Linked DNA regions of Drosophila melanogaster. The protein of the gene in region 1 interacts with the protein of each later gene in a pairwise test. Each region holds a gene or a part of one and is shown in the gene's direction. Other genes may lie near its edges. The genes, in order: Dlg5, NaCP60E and corn.

The links.
Region 2: the proteins of Dlg5 (region 1) and NaCP60E interact in a two-hybrid assay, tested with the Drosophila melanogaster proteins (one large-scale study listed by BioGRID).
Region 3: the proteins of Dlg5 (region 1) and corn interact in a two-hybrid assay, tested with the Drosophila melanogaster proteins (one large-scale study listed by BioGRID).

The regions. Positions count from the first base shown.
Region 1 is NT_033779.5:11,513,361-11,519,944, reverse strand, and holds the start of Dlg5 (discs large 5), read left to right. Parts: upstream 1-2,863; 5' UTR 2,864-3,079; exon of another isoform or gene 3,080-3,143; 5' UTR 3,144-3,222; exon of another isoform or gene 3,223-3,287; 5' UTR 3,288-3,436; intron 3,437-4,127; 5' UTR 4,128-4,164; coding exon 4,165-4,219; intron 4,220-4,271; coding exon 4,272-6,584. Other genes in the region: CG14929 (uncharacterized protein), read right to left, coding at 1-1; CG4970 (uncharacterized protein), read right to left, coding at 215-624, 677-773, 831-935, 993-2,453.
Region 2 is NT_033778.4:24,890,042-24,896,371, forward strand, and holds the start of NaCP60E (Na channel protein 60E), read left to right. Parts: upstream 1-1,572; 5' UTR 1,573-1,796; intron 1,797-2,242; 5' UTR 2,243-2,507; intron 2,508-4,042; 5' UTR 4,043-4,528; coding exon 4,529-4,565; intron 4,566-6,330. Other genes in the region: Ance-5, read right to left, coding at 1-870. UniProt on the Drosophila melanogaster protein: Mediates the voltage-dependent sodium ion permeability of excitable membranes. Plays a role in processing of olfactory information during the olfactory avoidance response.
Region 3 is NT_037436.4:7,153,507-7,160,084, reverse strand, and holds the start of corn (cornetto), read left to right. Parts: upstream 1-3,011; 5' UTR 3,012-4,149; intron 4,150-6,578. Other genes in the region: CG8620 (uncharacterized protein), read right to left, coding at 1,275-1,838.

The DNA.
Region 1 (6,584 bases):
TCGATTTGATATGATTTTCAATAGAATTTTGAAATGCCCCAATAAATTAAAAACTTTAATTTTTATTGTTCAATTTTGACACGTCTGATTTGACTTATCTGGGTTATTTCATCGCTTATTTGTTACCTAACAAATTTAAAACGTAAATATAATATTTATTTAAGATTTGTTTGATTTATTTTTTGGCCAAGACCCCTGCATCTTACATACATACTTAATCCGACTTAGACATGATTTCACTCTTATTAGATTCCAGAATCTTTAGTTCGATCTTTTCGATTCTCTTCAGCAAATTGTCATGTTGTGTCTTTAGTTCCACAATACTCGCCTGTTTGATGGCAATAAACTTCTCGGTCCGATCAAAATCGGCCAACAACTTGGGATAGCACATAATGCCACCCTCACGACGGACTTCTTTGATCTGGTCAAGAAGTTTATTGTGTGTTAGATTACAATTATATACTTCATCGCGCAATGCTATTTGCCGTTTTTGCCTTTCTCGTAACTCATCTTTGGCCTCCCTGAACTTGCGATTCAGCAGCTTCCGTCGACATCGCAGATGGGAAATGGTATGGATTTTGGTTTTCACCAGCGTACACATGCGTTCCAGTTCAGCGTTTTTATCTGTAAATAAAATTAAAATAGATAGATACTTGTTACGTTTTATTTAACTCACTGTTTAGAGTGGTAACCATCTGCTGAACGTCGTTATCCGCGGACAGATAGGTTTCCAATTTGACTTCCCCAGAAATCGCCTCAATCTCATCGACTTTCTGTGGGTAAACCCTTTTTTTTAGTCAGCCAACTTATTTTTATTTTGTAATTTCGACCTTTTTAATGTAGGAATTGTCATGCTGCCTTATGATCAAAATCAGTCGTGTCGCAGACAACGCATCGCGTTTTGCTCTCATTTGTTTAAGAGCGGTTTCCGTTACCTAATTAAACAATAAAAGTGTTTTTGTTTAATTTTTAATCCGATTTTGAAGACTCACAAAGCGAAGGCGTTCAGACGGTTGGCTGTCCCGCAGTAATGTGCTTCTGAAGATCTCCTCCAGCCTCTCGATCTTCTCGTTGTCCTCTCGTTGCATCCGCTCCAATTCCGACAGCAGTCGTTCCTTTTCAGCCAGGTGCATCTGCTCAGCCTGTCGTGTCCTGTTAAGCCAATGATCCAATTCGTTTAGGGCACCCAAGTACCGACTCCGTTGGGATTCGTTGATGTAGGATCTGCTGCTCGGCGTTACGAGGGAGTACTTAAATCGACGCAGGTGGTGTTCCGTCAGTCGTTTGGTCAGTAAATTGTTGTCGTGGCTCACCCAGTGGTGATCCTCGACTTCCTTGAACAGGCGATTCATTAGCTTACTTTTGTCTAGATTTTTTGACCGCAAATAGTCTGTATTAACGAATATGTCCACAACTTTCTCAATAAGCCCATCCAGATAGCTTTGGACCATTTGACCGATGGAAAAAGTCGTAGGGATGGAATTGAGGCTAGATGTGGAGGACCTGGACTCAGATGTAATGTCCTTAAAAGTGGCCACATGACTCGATTTGAATTGCATTCCCTGCAATCTCCAATCGCTTTCGTCAACAGATTCTAGTCCTGAGGGCGATGGTATCTCCGTACCATGCACATCGTCATCGTTTTGCGAGGAAGGTGCTTCATAATTGGATTCGCTGGGAATGAGGCTTTCCATCGACGAGGACAACGACTTGCGGGCCAGTTGAATCTGTAACTGTTCTAGTTCCGAGCCCGGCACCTGCTGCATTTCCACACTCTTCTTATCGATGCCCAGATTGTGATCTGTAGTCCCGATATCACTAAGTTCATCCCAATCGGGAATGTTCCTGAGGGTTTGGAGGATATCAAAGCGCATCCTTATGTTCGAGTCGGAGGATACACTCATTTGGTCTTCGTGATCCGTGGTATTTCCCAATTCCGAGTCCATTTTATCGCCATCACTCTGATTGGTCGCCTCCTCCACGCTGTCCGTAGAACTAGTTAAGTGCGGATGTGAATGAACTATTTTAAGCTGAGTTTCCGCGCTGGCTTCGAGTTTCCTAAGCTTATATAAATGAAACGGCTGTTCTTCTATATAAGATAATTTCCTTTTAACTGCGCTACTTGACTTTTTCGATGGTAACGAGCTTATGGAGACCACCGATCTGCGAACATTCTGTTTGGGCATTCCTCGTTGGGAGGAAGGAATGGGTATGGGTACTGAAGTACTCCAGACACTTGGCGCGGTGGATGCGATACGCTCATCGGAATCCGTACTATGACTCGGGATGCTCATTATACTAGTTATGTGGCTTTCGCCGGAAGTTGCAACCTTCTTGGCGCTCGCATCGTTGACTACCTTTTTTCGATCTCTTTTGCCCTGCAAATTGACCAACTTCTTGGGTATTATTTTACTTTTAATGAATAAAAATTTTGCTCGCCCTGGCTTGGCCATTTTCCAAAAGGTTGTTAGTGCGTGCAACTTGCGCAAAGTGCAGCAGTTGCAAAAAGTATTAAAAATTACAAAGAACAAAATAAACAACAACGGTTTGAACTAAATATTGTGTAATAATATCATTATATTTGATTAAAATCTCCCAAGTTTTCTAATGGGTTTGGAACATTGCTAAGCGAAGACACTTCCAGCACGATTGCGCGCCAACTTAGCGTGTACACACTCCCACTTAGTACACATATACAGCGCTGCCAGCCGTTCGTAAAGAGGAGCGGCAGTTCCGATATAGAAGGAATGATCTTATATGTACATTTTACATTCGGGATTTATTTGTTTTTTAAGAAAGCTGGGCTAATGAATCGATATTAAACAATACTATCGATTTTAATATTGTCTAAAGAGACAGAGTGTATTATTTATCGGTCACTCCGCGGTCACACTGGTGACGTTTTAGTGAAGAAGTTGTGTTGTTTTTTTTTATTTCATTTCGTTCAATTTTCGTTGGCCATTCGTCATCGCTTTCGTCGCAGTGTTCTTCCAAGAGTGTCGTGCACCGTAGAGGTTGACTTTTCGCCCAACGATCCAAGAAACTCAACTTCCGGAATCCGGATGCGCGAGCGAAAACGGTAAAAGTCGTCGGTTGTCCCGTTCAACGTCCGCCTGTTGCATCTCTCCCTCTCTTTCCCGCAGGGCTGGAATTGGGGTGGAGCTCGTCCCCTCTCTTTCGCGCGCCCATTCAGCTGTTGCGTTCGCGTGCGTGTGTGTGAGTGTGCGTAATAAGATTTTCGATGTAAAGGAAAATACGCTATATTTTCCTATTTTTTGGACAAATAGGCGTGCTGCTGGGCCAAGATAAACTCCAATCAAGGAAAAAAAGGGTTTATATAACTCGCAGTGCTTTCCACCATTGTGTGTTCGCCAGCTTTTCTTCTCTTTCATTCGGCCAACTTGTTTTGCCCGCCTGCGAGTGTGTTGGTGTTTCGGTAAGTGTGTGTGTGTGTGCATACATGTTGCTATTAATTTACGCTTTCTGCTCGGCTGCTTCAATTAATTCTTTAGCTTAGTCTCGATGCTTTAACTCGACTGCTTAATTGCCACACATTTCATTTTCGCAAGCAATAGCCGTTTGTAAGAGTTACCAAAAACTGCGTAACTTCCCTTTTTTCTACACTTCGCCACCTATCCCCATTCTCCCTACTGCCTACCCACGCCCACTCCCGCCCATTTTCTCATTCCCCATTGCGGTTGTATTTAAATTCGATTCGTTCGATTGTGAAAATCGCGGTTTCACAAAAATTGTGAAAGTTTCGTTTTTCCAATGCCTTGCTTTTCATACTTACTCGCACACTTCAAAAAATACAGCAATGGTCAAAATAGTATTACTAGTAAAGTTAACAAAAAGTTACAGTTTATTTTAGATAAAAGGTTAAAAGGTAAAAGTTTGAATCCTCACCTTTGGATGTTTAAAAAAAAATTGTATAAACCAAAAATAAATTTTCTAAAAATTAATAAATAAACGGATAAGATGAACGAACTCCATATCAAAGAAAAAACCAAACCCCAATTGGAAAGCAGAATGCATTACGCTAAACAAATTAGTTAGACAGCCTGGAACCTCGCTTAACTTTAACTTTAGCACGAACCTAATTAATCTTTTGTACTTTTACTCATCAGCATACCCTTATGTTAAGTATTACCTAAAGATGCTGTGATGGCGAAGATGGCATCTGGAGATCTATCGCTGACTAGTACGAGTAGCCAGGAAGGTAAGACGCCGTATTCATTTAAAGTACCTACCCATAGCGTCTTTAATTTTAGAAGAGAGCTCGGAGTATGTGGGCTATGATAATACCCTACGACCGCCGTCCAATTCCAGCGGCAGCACCACAGCTGCCAACATGTCCAACAACAACGGGCCCTCGAAGGGCGTCAGTAGCGGTGTGGGCGTGTCGGGCATTTCTGGTGGAAACGGCGCAAATTACGATATACTGCAGGCGCAGTACAAGTCCGCACTTTTGGAGCTAAATACCCTACGCCACCAGCATGCGAACACCAAGAGGCGATGCGATGAGTTAGCCACCGAGTTAACTCTGTACCAGGAGCATTACGTGGCCGATCGTAACAAGTTCACCGATATGGTGGAGGAGAGCGCCCGTTTCAAGCGTCTGCTATTGGAGACCCAAAACCAACAGAGCCAGCAGGCCCAGAATGGAAATAGCCAAGTGCCGCCAGTCGGCAGTGGGAATCCTTATTATTTTGGCAAGACGCAGGGATGCGATGGAAGCTGCAGTGAGAAGCTGGCCGAACTGAAGAAAGAGCGAAATATGGTCGCCGTGGAGAGGGAGAAGTACAAGAAGTCCTACATCGAGCTTGAAAAGGATCGCAACTACTACCGGGAGCGAGGCGATGAAAATCAGAAACTGAAGGTTCTTCTCTCCCAGGAGAGTAAGAATGTGCTTTCCCTTACCGAGGAGCTTAATCAACTGCTCTCAGAGAAGGACAACGTGCTGCAGGAGCACCAGAAGATGTCCGACGATCTGGTTCTGGCCAACAAAGAAATTGAGAGGCTCAAAAAGGACGAACAGCTTGCCAGGGCTGAAATCAAGGTTCTACAGCTGGCCAATGCGGACCTTAAAAAGCGCGATCTTCTAAAGTCTCGCGATAGCTCGTGGTCCAAAGAATTTCCGAGTGGAAAGGAGCTGGAGAACAGCAAGGAACTGGAAAAGCTGCGCAAGAGCTTAGAAAAGGCCCTCTCGGAGGTGGAGCGTTCAAGCCAGGATGCCGAAGAAGCGAAGCGCGTAAGGGATTGGGCCATATCGCAACGTGAGAAGATCGTGCAGGAGCGGGATTCGGTGAAGACGCTCTGTGATAAAATGCGCCACGAGAGAGATAAAGCCATCTCCGACTCGCTGATGGCCATCCGGGATAGCGAAAAGATTAAAAAGCAGAAGGACGAAGCGCAGAAAAAGATCGACTTGTTGAAAGAACAAATGGAGCAGCAAGAGCGCCAAAATCTTGACAGTAACGCCTCCGGATCCCGACGCAGTTTCCGCCCAAGCAGTTACGAAGGTGAGGATCTCCTGGAAGTAGAGCTGTCCGGCTACGAGCACACGTCCGACCTGGGCATCATCCTGGATGACAGCAACAAGCGAAAATTAGTGTGTGGCGTTACCAGCAGTTCCCCCGCCTGCGGGAAGCTCAAGATTAACGATGTGATCTGCAAGGTGAACAACTTGGACTGCCAGTCTTTGTCGAAACGGATGGTTCTTGATGAGATCCGCGCCTGTGCTCCTCGTTCCCTCCTGCTCGTTTCCCGAACTCGTCACAGCAAACGGCACGCCTATTCTGTTCAGCTAAAGACTAGGGATAGGGATTGCCCGCATGGCCTGCAACTGGACATGGGAGTGTTCATTGCAAAGATCGAGCAAAATTCGCTAGCCTTCTACGAACCAGAGCTGGACGTTGGCGACCGAGTGTTAAGCATTAACAACAAGTCTATGGACTCAGTGCAGTCAATCGAGGAAGTGATGCAGTTGATGAATGATCCCCGAAGCGATGGGCTCAATCTGTTTGCCCTTAAATACGTACAGGATCAGTTACCCCCGGGAATGACCACCTCGTCGGCGCAGACAGATTCCATTGACTCCATGCAGCATGTCTCAAGTGCCGGGGGAGGTGGAGGAAGTGGGCCCAGTAGCGCCACCAAACATCCGTCCAGGTTCGCGGAATTTTTCTTCCGAAAGCTTAAGTTCAGCAAACCAGGCACACCAGAGGATAACTTTGAGCAGGAGCACGACGACGCCATCGCTGCTTTGGATTCTGTGCTCAGTGAAAACAGCTCTGAGAAGAGCAAGGAGAATCTGTTCAACCGCAAGAAGCGGACCAAGAAGGAGAAAGAGGCCTCCAAGAGCATGGGTACCTGGCCGCGGACCAACATCTCGCATGAAAACCCAACGGGCACCATGCGCGGCAATGAGAAGAAGCGTGCTCTGATGTCGCTTTTTACAGCCGGTCCCATAAATGTGGACAAGGATGACGAGCTGATGGGCGAGGTTGGAGTGCCAGAAAAGCAGCCAGCAGCGTTGATCCAGGATCAGTTGCCTCCACCGCTGCCCCCGCAAATGTCCAAGC
Region 2 (6,330 bases), on another chromosome or scaffold:
GCCCTGGTGCGGTGTGCGAAAGAACTGGTGAGGATACCAGTCCTGCGACAGGATCTGGTCCATAATGGGAGCGGAGATGGCGCCATCGCTCTTTGTGTCCGCCTTTGGGTAGGCAGCTTGCACCTCGCGACGCAAATAGGCGTGCAGTTCTCGATATAGCGGCATTATCTCCCACACGACCGCCTCCATTTCAGCTTGAAAGTTCTCCGTGTCGTAGTTAAGGTACCACGTGCGCGAGGGCGTCACATGCCCGTTGTAAGTGGCAGCGATCCGGAGAAGCCTAACGTAGCCGATGAACGTGTTCTTGGCCACGTCCTTCTCGTTAATGGCCCTGCGCCAGGCCTTCCAGTTGATGACCAGATCCTCGTATAGCTTGGTGTGCATGTTTTTGTTCATGATCTGCGGGTACATGGCCAGCGAACCACGGGCGGAGCAGTCCTCGTAAGGGCAGACCAGGGGTCCGTTGACAAAGTTATGGATCTGACGTAGAAGGTCCTTGGCCTGCTCGTAGTCCTTTGGCCGCAGTCCCTGCAGCTGCAACTTGGCCATTCGCTGCACGCGCCTACGAAGAAGTGGGTCATTCAATTCAGCCACTGACACAACGCTGAGATTGCCCGCTAAGTCGTAAAATAGTCGATAGGTCTCCGCCTCTACCTCCAGCTTGGAGTTGAGAACCTGTCCGCCCAGAGGTGACTTTCCTTTGGCCGTGAGCTGCACAAAGATCCTGCGGTTCAGACTCCACACGTGGCGCATGCGGTCTTTGGCTCTATCAAGTATCTGCTTGGTAGCCAGTTCATAGCTGGACTGGCCGATTCCGAAGGTCACGGAGAGCAGAAGGATTAGCGATACTCCTAAAAAAGGCAACCGCATTTTGCCTTCGCTGGCTTCCGTTTCGCCTTGATAAGGTTATCGGAGTGCTTTCGAATGCGACTTGGGATTTGCTTCCGACTCTGACGAAAGCTCGAGCAGAACTGAGTCCAGACTGCCAGTCGAGCCGCAGGCTTATCAATCTAAGTCCGGGGCATTGAGCTTATCTGTAATTGGGAAAGAAACCCAGCTAGCGATCTCTCCAAGCAAACGTTGCGTATACGTTACGAGCTTGGCATTATTTATACGCTGAGTGTGCCAGCCCGAGGCGGAAATCGCAGTGGGCACGGCGGGGAAGACATCCTTACACCATAATAGACTGATTAACAGCTGCTGGTTTTGTTAGCCAGTGGCCCATATTCAAGCAAAATCATTTTGACATATTCCTTCCGAAGAAGAGACAGCGGAGGTAGTCCTTTGCCCCGCGGTGCACCAGCGGAGCATTCGGAATTTAAATCGGAGAAATATGGGGAAGTTCGTCGTTCGTGTTGCATGTGGCACGGCATTTGTTTATGCCGGCTGACCTACAAGCAAACGTGAGGGCGCAGGGGGACTCTGCTCACGAAGGCGAGCGTGAGAGCATTTCCCGCACGAGTCCTTTTCGAGAGAATAGGGGGAAGTTCGCGTGTGTATTTTTTCATCGCTCTGCATCGTGGTCGCCCTGCAGATTACGTCAAACGGAAAGGAAACCCGTTAGCCGAGCTCAGTCTCCGACAAACCTTAGAACCGAGCAGTCGCCATGCAAGCGCACGTATTTACAGTGGCCCAGTGTCATAGTGTCCTAGTATGAAGTGAAAAAATCAAGGAATATGGTGAAAAGTGAAAAGTGAAAGGCAGTAAAAAGCCTGAAAGGGCATGGAACATAGCGCGGAACTCGCACCCCTACAGCCGCACAGTGAAGCGCGTTACCATCACAAGTGCATTATTCGGTGCGATGAAAATTCTTCAGCGCCCAAAAATAGAGTGAAATGTGTGCTGCATATTGTTGTTGCTGCTACTGAGTTGCTTAAGGGAGGGGGAGAGGCCACGACGGAAACTAACCTACATTTTCGCGCTCTTTCGCACGCTTTTGCTGACACACACACAGGCACACGTGCGGTGCCAGAGAGGCCACCGTGCTATCTCTTTCGCACTCACCCTTTGGGCCGCGAAAGAAATCAACAGTAAATTGTAATAACACTTCTTAGACTGCCAGTAGGCTTTTGCATGTGTGTGTGTGCGTGTGTCAAACAATGTGCGTGCCCGAAGTTTTTTGCTTTGTTCTGTTTTTGTTGCTGGTTCCGTTTCAACATCCCCACCCACTCACAGTCACATTGTTGCACAGTTGCGACTAAATAAAAATGTAATTAATGTAAAATAAAATCAAATAAAACAGCAGCAGGAGAAAAAACAACTGGATCGGGAATGGTGATTGAGCCAGTGTTGGGAAGTCGATGTTAAAGTGCGAGTGAAGGCGAACGTGTGCAAATGTGCTTTGTGTTCGTGTGTTGCAGGCCCAAGAAAGTAAAATACGAAAATAGAAATAGAAATTGCCGGAGTGCAAACACACAAGCGATTACATAAAGCCCAACTAGCATCCCCAACATCCGACAACTGCAACCAGCGGAGAATAAAAAAAAATTGATGGCCAATGCTTAAAGGTAAAATCGGATATTCATACGCGTGTGCGTGTGTTAGTGTTTGGGGGGAAGTTTGGGTTCCAACGCAACAGCAATGTCCTGGTCATAAATTAGCCCTTGATGTGCACTTAACTAGGTGGCCACACTTTCTCTTCGTTTCGAAGCGCTTCGTTCTGTTCGCACGAAGGAGAGAGCTAAAATGGCGGAAGGGGACCGATAACAAAATTCGTAGCACAACTTTAGGGGCCAACTGGCAAAGCTCTGCCAGCCGCACTTTTATGAGCCAACTTTAAAACCAACCGCTGGTCACGCCCAGAAAGCAGAAACCAGAAACAGAAGCGAGTATCCCCGCCCCAAAGAGAAAGACCCCACCGAACAATTGAAAGCCAACAACACACTGCTTAATGCCTCGAGCGCCGCTCTCATTGTTGTAATAAAAGTGTTTTTGCCGATTTGTGTGTGTCTGGGACAGACCAGCAAATGCAGGTGGATCTCCAATGGCACACGACAGCCCAGCCTCCAGGCGTAATGGCACATCCCTGCCACTGCCAGCGAATTTCCGCCAGCAAACATCACATCAACTGCCATAACGGGGTGTTGGAAACTTAATATTGAATATTTTATGGGCGCCTTCATCTACCGCTTTTCCATTTTTGCTGCCAGTTGCGAGTTGCCAGTTGCTCGCAGACGTGTCAAGAAGTTTGCGAGAAACACAACAGGAAGCGCCGGCCTACACAAGCACCTACACACCCATACACATGCCCATATATGCACAACAATGCCGGGAGCAGCATCAACAAAGCGCTGAGCAATGAGCAGCCCCCGACCCACGCCACAGCCTACGCAAGCTCATTGCTTTTTCGTTGGGCGCCATTTATCAATTCTTGTATCTTACTTGTGTTGTGTGCGTCTGTGGAGAAGATGCTAGATTGTGTGTATGGGTGTGCCCATAATGTTAATTAACTTTATCTCGCTCAAGCTTTAAGTCTTGAAGCGGCACTCATTTCCCGGCCCTCGCCACAATTCGCATTCTTCCCCTTCAGGTGCTTATCTCTTCCGTTACGCACATAACACATACGTTGGCCGAGTGAGTCGTTACGTTGCGTATACGTACTGCACTGGCAGAAAGGTTTTTCTCAGTCTTGAGGAAGTCCCCATTGAGTGCTGACTGCTATCTTTGTTTCACGGAACCAAATCCGTACATTTGTTCCTCTTTTCGATTGTCTTGTATTAATTCACAGTATAGTAGTAGTAGTGAAATAAAAAGGCTTGGTATTTGAAAAAAATTGGCAGAATGAAGAGAAATTATAATCGTATGTGTTCAAAGGACACCTTTTTTTTATTTTAAGGTCATCAATCTGAAGATTTTTTCTGAGTGTGAGCCGCGTGCCTTGGTTCGGGTGCTTTGAGCTGTAGGGGATTAGCGCGCTGCCAATTAACGTTACATGACACGACGCAGAGCAATTGCGGGCAGAGGCGATTTAATTTACTCTCATTCCCCCTACTTGCATAAGCTTAAATCTTTCCACTTACATCAATCTCTTTCTCTCGTTTAGAAAACATACGCATCGCATCGCAAAATGTAAAGCAATAATCAGCACAACAAAGCCAAAGCTCACAATAGAAGTAGACGACCAGGCTGAGCAACTGAGCTGGGACGATGCCAAATGCCATTATTGGAAACGGTCGTAGTCATAAGATTTGCATAGTATAGCAATAGCAGCAGACATCATGAAAGCCCCAAGCGTGATAAGCACAGCAACAATAGCAACAGCAATAGTAGATACTAGGCACAACATGGTTAACAAAGGGAACGGTGACAATATAATCGGTAAACTGAGCGATCGACTCGCTTGAATAGTGAGATAGACATATGCCCAGTGTTCGAAAATCGAGTGAGAAGCCTGGCAAAAGAGAGCGCGACCAAGGCATGCAGCTGCCCTAAGGACCTCGCCCAGGACGACGACGACGACGGAGTCGAAGGACCAAGAAGCAACCGCAACCAGAGGCAGCACCCAACAAAACGACGACAATCAGTCAAGATGAGTGATGATCAAGCGACGTTCAACGATGAGAAAGGTGAGTCCCCTAACCGCTAAGCCCTCCTGATACTGCTATTGATAGTTTTCTAAGCCACCCGGCCTCATAAATATTATTCCCGATGTGACCAGGGGGGAGTTGGGTAACCGGGAGGCCATCAAATCTGTATGCGGGAGTATGCATGGTCAGGGGGCAGGTGTCACAGGGCAGGACTTCTGCTCCTTCTCCTTCCTCAATCAGGTCCTCCGACATCCTGACAGCGACACCTGCACGCCAACCAAAAGAAAGACGTGCACAGTGGTTCTGCACACACAGAAGTCTTTTGACTGGAGTTGCACGACTTCTTTCCATAGAGAGCAAGTTTGTTTTATTTTTTACAATTTTATTAATTTCTCGGCCTATTTAAGTTCACTTCTGCATATTTTTATCCCTGAAACCAACAATTGGCTTAAGAATAAACTAGCAGGTCAAGTTATGAGCTCAAAGATTGACATTCTTCAACAGCCACCCACAGTGCCATATAAAAGGCAGTTGGGGTGGGGGGACCAAAGGCATTTCCTTTTTGTGCGTGTTGAGCGTTTTCCTGCCACTTCCCGAACTCCTGTCCTGCTGTCCGGTCCTGCTCATCAACATAATTAAATAGCATTGCTCATTGTGTGCCGGTTGTGCCTTGGATACGGGGCATGTGCTTGGGTCTGGGGCACTTGGGTCCTGTGTCCTGGGTCTTGGCCAATAAAACGAAAATGGAATCGAACCAGCTTAATGGCGGGGCAGAGTGACCCTAAGGCCGTTTAAATAAATGATAAACAAATCGAAAATGGGAAGCGCTTTTGTCGGACCGAAAAGTTTCGGCTGATGACTGGCCATAAGTTACGCAATCGTTTTTGCAGGCGCCGATAGAGAGCGCCATTTGTCCTTACAGCAGGAGTGAGTGGGTGGGCCTTGGGTTGATAAGTGGGCGCAGGGCGCCATTGTCAGCGGAGTATATTCACTGGGGAGGTGAACAATGCACAAAGGCCAGCAGGCGCTGCCATCTGCGGATTACGAATATGAACGGAAACGGAAACTAATTAAATATGTAGAGCAATTGTTGCTGCATCTCGCTTTATCCTACCGATTCACTTTTTCACTTTTGTTTGTCCCGCATCACTGCAGCCAGTGTTTCGGTTTCTCCTTCGGCTCGGCTTGGGCTGGGGCTTGGACCGACCACCTTCCTTTCCGCCTTGCCAGTCTCGAATTGGATTTGGTTTTTGGCCAGGGCCAGGAAGCAGTCGAGAGCAAGCGCCCCAACTGCGAGGGGCGTAATTGCCCTACCCCCTAAGCCTCCGCTCCGAGTCCAAATCCCAATCCCATTTCAATTTCCATTCCCATTCCCGTCACCATTGAACTTGCTCAAAGGTCTGCGCAGCTGCAACTGCAACAGAGGCAGCAATGCCAGTTGCAACTGCAACAATGGCTGCACTTTAAACAACAAACTTTGAAAGTTAAACCAGGAAATCCGAAGCAAAGCATGCAGTACATAAGGAGTATCAAGAGAGCACCATAATATAGCAGAAAATCGAATTGACTTTTTCAAGACTTTCCCCACAATTCTAAAACTGTTGCCCACAATCTCGTGAATCACTTGTAGCACACCTTTTTCTCTCTGTGTGTGGATGCAACTGGTTTTTTGGGAAAACCACGACATTGCACGTCGCTAGTTGCTTTTAGTTTCTGTATCGGTGTGCAATTTCCTTTTTGTTTTTGGGCGCTTTGAGAATGACTTTGCTTCCGCGTGAAGATGCGACGGCAGGTCTGGAGTTTC
Region 3 (6,578 bases), on another chromosome or scaffold:
AATTAATGAAAGTAAATTGAATGAGCCTGTAGGAGAATCAAATACCAGTCGTAATTAAATTTCGAATTATCATAAAAACTCAATCAAGCAGACGCGAATGGAACGAAAGCCAAGTTAGGAGCAGACAAACAAACTACAAATTAATATAACTCTTAGTTCGTATCGAATAATCCAAAAGTAATACGAGTACATAGCTGTATTTTAACTAGCCTAAAAAAGCATAAGGAAACCAATTAAACAGTCAAATAAAATCGATGAGGATTAGAAGGAGGATCAGAGGGACGAATTGAACCCATTTCGGAAACCATGTGCCAAAATTTGTTTTTAGACAAAGCTCTCTTAAATTACGGATATACAATAAATAATGCAAGCCATGAAAAGCGAGTAAATAGCAGCCACTAAATATGAACATACCAATTAGAGCCACAGAAATCACAAAATAAAGTCGCAGATTAAGGTGTTCACTTGGGTAAAATTTATTCCAACCCGAGCCAGACAGCATAATTCTTTAGTGTCTCATTTGAAATAAAAGCAAAAAACAAAATCGAAAATTTACGAGCCAGCAGCACTCTTTGTTTATATAGCGATTAACGCGATTTTAGTCGGTTTTTATATGCATTTATTTGTACGAAGCAATGAAATGGTTTATTACATTTAACATCGAATTTTACGAATTTATTAAGAACAACAGAAAAGTTGCGACTGCAAGGAGCAAACTCACAGCAAAGTCTACAAATCAAAAGATGAAATTAACTTAATAGATCACAATCAAAACGAGAACAAACCGAGTAATTATACGAGAGGGAGAAACAATTTTTATGTTTAACATATAATTAGCACAACAACTACAAAATAAAAACTATTAATGTAAAAACAAACGGCATTTAAAAAATATAAGAAATATTTAAAAATAACAAACGATTGTTTATTTGTTAATCGGCTGATGGAGGTAAGATAAAAACTTCTTTTTACAGTTCCAAAACTTTGAACTTTATTTTCTCAGAAAAATGGTTCAAATATTTCACAACTTTGGTAAATATGAATGCTAAATTAAATCAGCATTTCATCAACGAATGTAACTTATTATCTTGAATACCTGAACAGTATGTATTATTTGCACCCAAAATAAAGATAAGCCCACCCTCCATTAAAAAGAATTCATTTGAATATTTTTTTCATATTTTATATATTTTATTATTTTTTTTTTTTTGGTTTTTTTATGCGCACTTAATATATAAAATGAATATTGAATAATACTGAATGAAGCCAGATACTCACACTGAAATCCGAACGGGCAGAGCCAGGGGTAGTGCTCGAGATCGTCGGGAATCGGTGTAGGACCTGGAACGAGAACGCCCATGAGAACGACCACGCGAGTGACCACGGGAGCGACCGCGAGACCGGGAACGATCCCGCTTGCGGTCATCTCGCGTGTGTCTTCTCCGCGGCATGTGCCCCTCCTTCTCCGCCAGGATCAGCTCGCAGTCACTGTGGTCGGAACTGGAACTGGAAGATGAGCTAGTGTGATGACTATGACTATGATGTTTGCGTCCTCTGTGTCGTCGTTTACCTCCATCGGAGCTGCGGTGCTTGGACTTGGTCTCCTTGATGGAGAGTTGAGATTCCTGCTGCTGCTGCTTCTGGATCTGTTTCATCACATCGTTCAGCATTTTCTGGGCCATGTTGGCCTTTCGAATGAGACGCTCCATCGACGGCAAGGCCATGTCCTCGACTTCCACGGGCGTGGCATTTGGCAATTGGCCGCGGCATCCTTGACATGCATCCGGCCCTGCATTTGCCGCAGTTTGCTCACGTGCCACGTTATCGGATTGCGACATTTTTGCACTAGTTTACAACTGACCCGATAAGAAATTCACTCAACACTTTAATTACTGATTAACTACTGTTTCTCTGAACTGGATATAACTGCTGCGGAATCTGTTGCTTATGTTTCGACTGCTTCACTTGAACACTTGAATTTGACTGGCTTCTGCGGCATTCGGTCGATGAGCTTTTATAGGCAACTTTGGCGCCAAGCTAATCGCGACTTTCGGACTGTAAACATTTGCCTTTCTTTATCAGTCACATACTCATACAAACCACACGATAAATGTGACGTCATCTGAGCTATTTTTAACCAAATCGCATTCATGGGTTTTTGGGAAATTACTTCCATTGATCACGTGTTTTTAATGTTACATAATTTCATTGCCGAACGTAACCTCAAACATATTTCATATTTTTGCGAAATTCTTCTTACTTTTGTATTTCTGCATATTATATGCATTATAAATATTCTGCGTATTTTTATAAGCATACCTTTTATTATTTTTTACGATTTTGTGAAATATGACATTATTTTGATATAATTTTAATTTTGAATTTCGTCCAAGTGTGTAATTTTAAAACAATTATTTTATCGTTTTAAATCATCGAAAATTTTAAGAATATAAAGTATTAAGAAATTTACACAATTTTTTGAAAATGTTTTGGGATCTTAATAATTGCATAAATCAGGTTTAGCACATTATTTTAGAAATACTAAACGGTTAAATATTTTACAGAACTGCTATTTAATTTTAAGGTATAAGACTACGTATAAGACATTACCGCTTGAGACTAGTATTTTTATTGTGGTATTTTCATGATTGCTTTTGAATTGTGCCCGCCAAAATATGCAGTCTTAACCACAAGCGGTTAAAATCATTCCTTACGTTTACTTATATTTAAAAATCGACAAAAGGTATAATAATTCAAAACTATTAAAAAATTTTAAATAAAACTAAACGAGTCTAAGTTTTCTTAATCAAAATAGCTGTTAATATGGATAAGATATATTTGGCGCATCCAATAGATACATTTAACCGCTGAAGAGAATTAACAGTGTGATACGCCAGACTGTTAACAGACTGTTAAAACGCGATTTCCCGGCTTTGGTATTTTTACATTACCATCATTTGGTTTCTCTGATATTTTAAAAATCTATATAAGCAGCTCGCAACGCATTCTCTCTGTAATTTTTCGGGAGAGCGCAGCAGCGCGCGCTGTTTTTTCGGTTACCATTAAAAAATATTATTAAAGAAACATCGTTATAACTTTAATGCCAACGGAGTTGCGGCAATTGAAACTGATTTTTTAAGCAAACGAACAATAAATTCGACGTGGAGTGTGCTTCTGCTCGCCTACATGAAGTAATAGCGATGTATATTATGATTTAGTAAATATAAATCGATTTAATTAATATTTAAACTTGTTGTTTTCCGCGAGTGGGCGCGTTTTGTTACCAAGCCGCTATACGATTTTCGTTTTTCCGACTTTCCTGCGCGCCGAACGGGTTTTTCAACGAAGCCTTGCTGTCTTTTTCCTCGTAAGCAGCAAAAACAAGGCTGAAAAACTAAATTAAAGCGACTCGCTTCAGCTGCAGATTAATCGATGTGCGGCTATAGACTTTTAATTCGCAGATTCATCATCGATTTTTCCTTTGGGCTCAGCTGCAGTGCGCTAGTGTACGTGTATGTGCGTGTGTGTGAGTTGGTCCTGACAATACAAATAAGCCGTTGTGTTAGGTAAACGGAACAACAAAAGGAAGTGAACCAGAGAGAGAAAGAGAGAGAGGAAACGGCAGGACGATACCGAGTCCTTGAGCGATCATTCATGCTCTTCTTCTTCTCCAGCTGCAGCTGTCACGAAATTTCGCGCGTGCACGTGTATGTGTGTGTGTGGGAGACAGGGAGAACGCCGAAGTTAGTAATTTCTCTCCACTTCTCAGTGTTTGTGCATTCAATTTGCACAAAATTGAAGCGACGCGCTAAATTCGCAAATTTCCGTCCGCGAATTGCCATCCATTATTTTGCACTCCCCCCCAAGAGAGCGAGAGCAATAATAGAATTATCAGGCAAAGCAAAAAAAAAAATCAAAACTCAAGCGAAAAGAGAATGCCCTGGGAGGCCGTAATACCAATACCGCGACCCTCTGACATTTCCATCGTCGCCCACCAAAGGAACAACAACTGAGCGACAAAGACAGCAACAATCCGACAAACAAACAAACAAAACAGCAAACGAGCGAATCAACGAACGAAACTCCAGCAGCAGCCTCAACCTCCTCAACCGCTGGCACAGTTTTCCTCCTTCAACTCCAGCTCCGTGGGTGAGTAGCTACAGTGGAACGCCACTAAGTAGAACATTCTGCGAGTTCTAAGTTAAATTGCAGAGAATATCGCTTTGAGCACAAACTGATTAGAAATTGCCTTCACTTGGTCTTAGAAAGTTTACTAATACCAACTGATACATCGTTTTTTTGTTTGTTAATGTCAGTTTTAAATTGAAATCGATTAACAAATCTTAATGTCCTTTTTATATTTTTTTATAATGGATGTGGGATATGGGGGAAAGGCAAATGGCTCTTACGTGTAAAATTTTATAGTTTTTCCATAGCATTTAAGTACAATTAATTTTCTTTACGAAGAAAATGAAAGTTTTGCTTATGTAACAAGCCAAATTTAAGCAAATATTTTGTTTTTTGTATCAGGATAAAAGTTAAGCTTACCCAATCTCCACTGTAACTCATTGGCGGGTAGAAAGTGGTTATCGAATATGAGCTGCGTCTTATGTTGAAGCCACATCGTCGTGTGGGCGAGAGGGTGGTTGTGGTGGGTCAGAGGTGTGTTGGCGTCGTGCGGCTTTGGTTTTTAGCTGAAATTAAAAAGGTCAGGACCGCCGGACTGAGGGGCTTCCGGATTTTGTATCCTAGCCACGTAGTCCGCTTCATTATGCAGCGTTAACTTTGTATGTAAAAGCGTATATACGTATGTACATATGTACATACATATATGGATGTGGCAAGCGGTGAATATAATTTCAGTTGCATGACTTCGGCGATAATCGATTTTGAAGCGACGAAGCAATCAGGAAGAGTGCAATTTAATGTCAGTCCGTCACTCAGTCAGTCAAACAGTCACAACTTGACACACTGCAAAAAGTTATGCTGCAAAATGGAGGTCAGCATGACGTTTTTGCATTAAAGATACAAAGGGAAATGTAGCAAAAACCAAACTTTTTGCTTAAAAAGTTTGGTAATACTTAATGTTTGCATGGATTTAGGCAAGCAATTGCGTTTTAAGTTTACTTAGAAAAGTATATACATTTGTCAAGTAAATAGTATCAATGTGCTCAATCGATTCCCATTTCCTTGAATTAATAATTGGTATATGCTACCATTTTTCCGGCCTGCTTAAATGGCGTTTACCATATTCATAAGCGCCCCGGTTGATGGAGCAGCGGACATGTTAGCCGTTACTCCATAATGCGACAACTTGGCGACTTGAAGTGGGGGATGTCGTAATGGAGAGTGAGCTGAGGAAATCGCTAATTAAGCATCAATTAGTGCAGTTTCCGGTGCAAGAGCCGCTAGAAGCAAGCAAGCCACCGTTCTTGTACTTTCCACTCGTCGAACAAATCGTGTGACACATTTCGCTTTCCCACACACCAATTGGCGATAGGAGTTATCAGCACTTTTCAGCTTTAGCACTTCTTACCACTTTGGCTGGCCTGCCCCCTATCCCAAAAGATAATAACACATTGCATTTTCAATGTGTTTCCCCTGATATACATATACAAATGTGCCCGATTAGCGGGTATCTCAATAACAATGGCCGTAATTTATGATAAACAAGTTTTTGAAGTGTGCGAAATTTAGCAGCTCACTGATTTGAGCCTGTTTTTGGCGACACACCACACTCCGCTTGGTACCCCTTGTTCAAATGTTGCATTGTTTATAATCAGTAACGGACTCATAAGCGAACACATGTCTGGGTTGGTTTTCAAGGTCAGTTGAATGGCCAGATTCGCCTCGTTTGTGATTTGGCAACCCCATGGAAACACGATAAACGAGGGCAAACAGAGCTGAATTCAAGCTGCAGCCTCATCATCTCGTCTTTCTCCAGACAATGGCCATTCGGCTATACCATTTCAGAGGTTTATGCCTTGAGAGAACGCTTCTGGAGACGAAAACCCGGCCTGGACTGGAACCTTGCCAAGACACACTCGAGACGCGCGTTGACAATGAGCGAGGCTCTCAGGCGAGACTTTCAGGCGTCTCCAGATGCTTTCCATTCCATTCGCTTTGTCTGTGCCGCTTTCGGCGTTGCATGCACTGCGAGAAAAAATTGAATTTGTATGGGTGTTCTATTCTAATGGTTTGGTTGTATGTATATCTACAGTTCACTTTTCTTATATCGAAAATACAGACACTTATCTACAGTGAGAGTATATTGTTATCATATCAAAGTAATTAAAAGTCTAAAAATATATTGAAAGTCATTACTTAGCCATATATATCGATTTGAGTTTAGCATTACTGAGAATTACGTTGATAAGGCATACATTTTTTGCGGTGTGCTTTCATGGCTTTGGCTCGGCTTTATGGATTGCCTCCAGTCAAGCTCAACTCTGAGCGTTGCTGGTCAATGGTCAAGACCGCCCCGCCCCTCTTCCACCCCCTTTAGGCCACTTTTGGCAGCGGAGTGTCGTGTGGCGCATGCCGCTGAAAAACTTTGCAGAGCGTGAAGTACACCACTC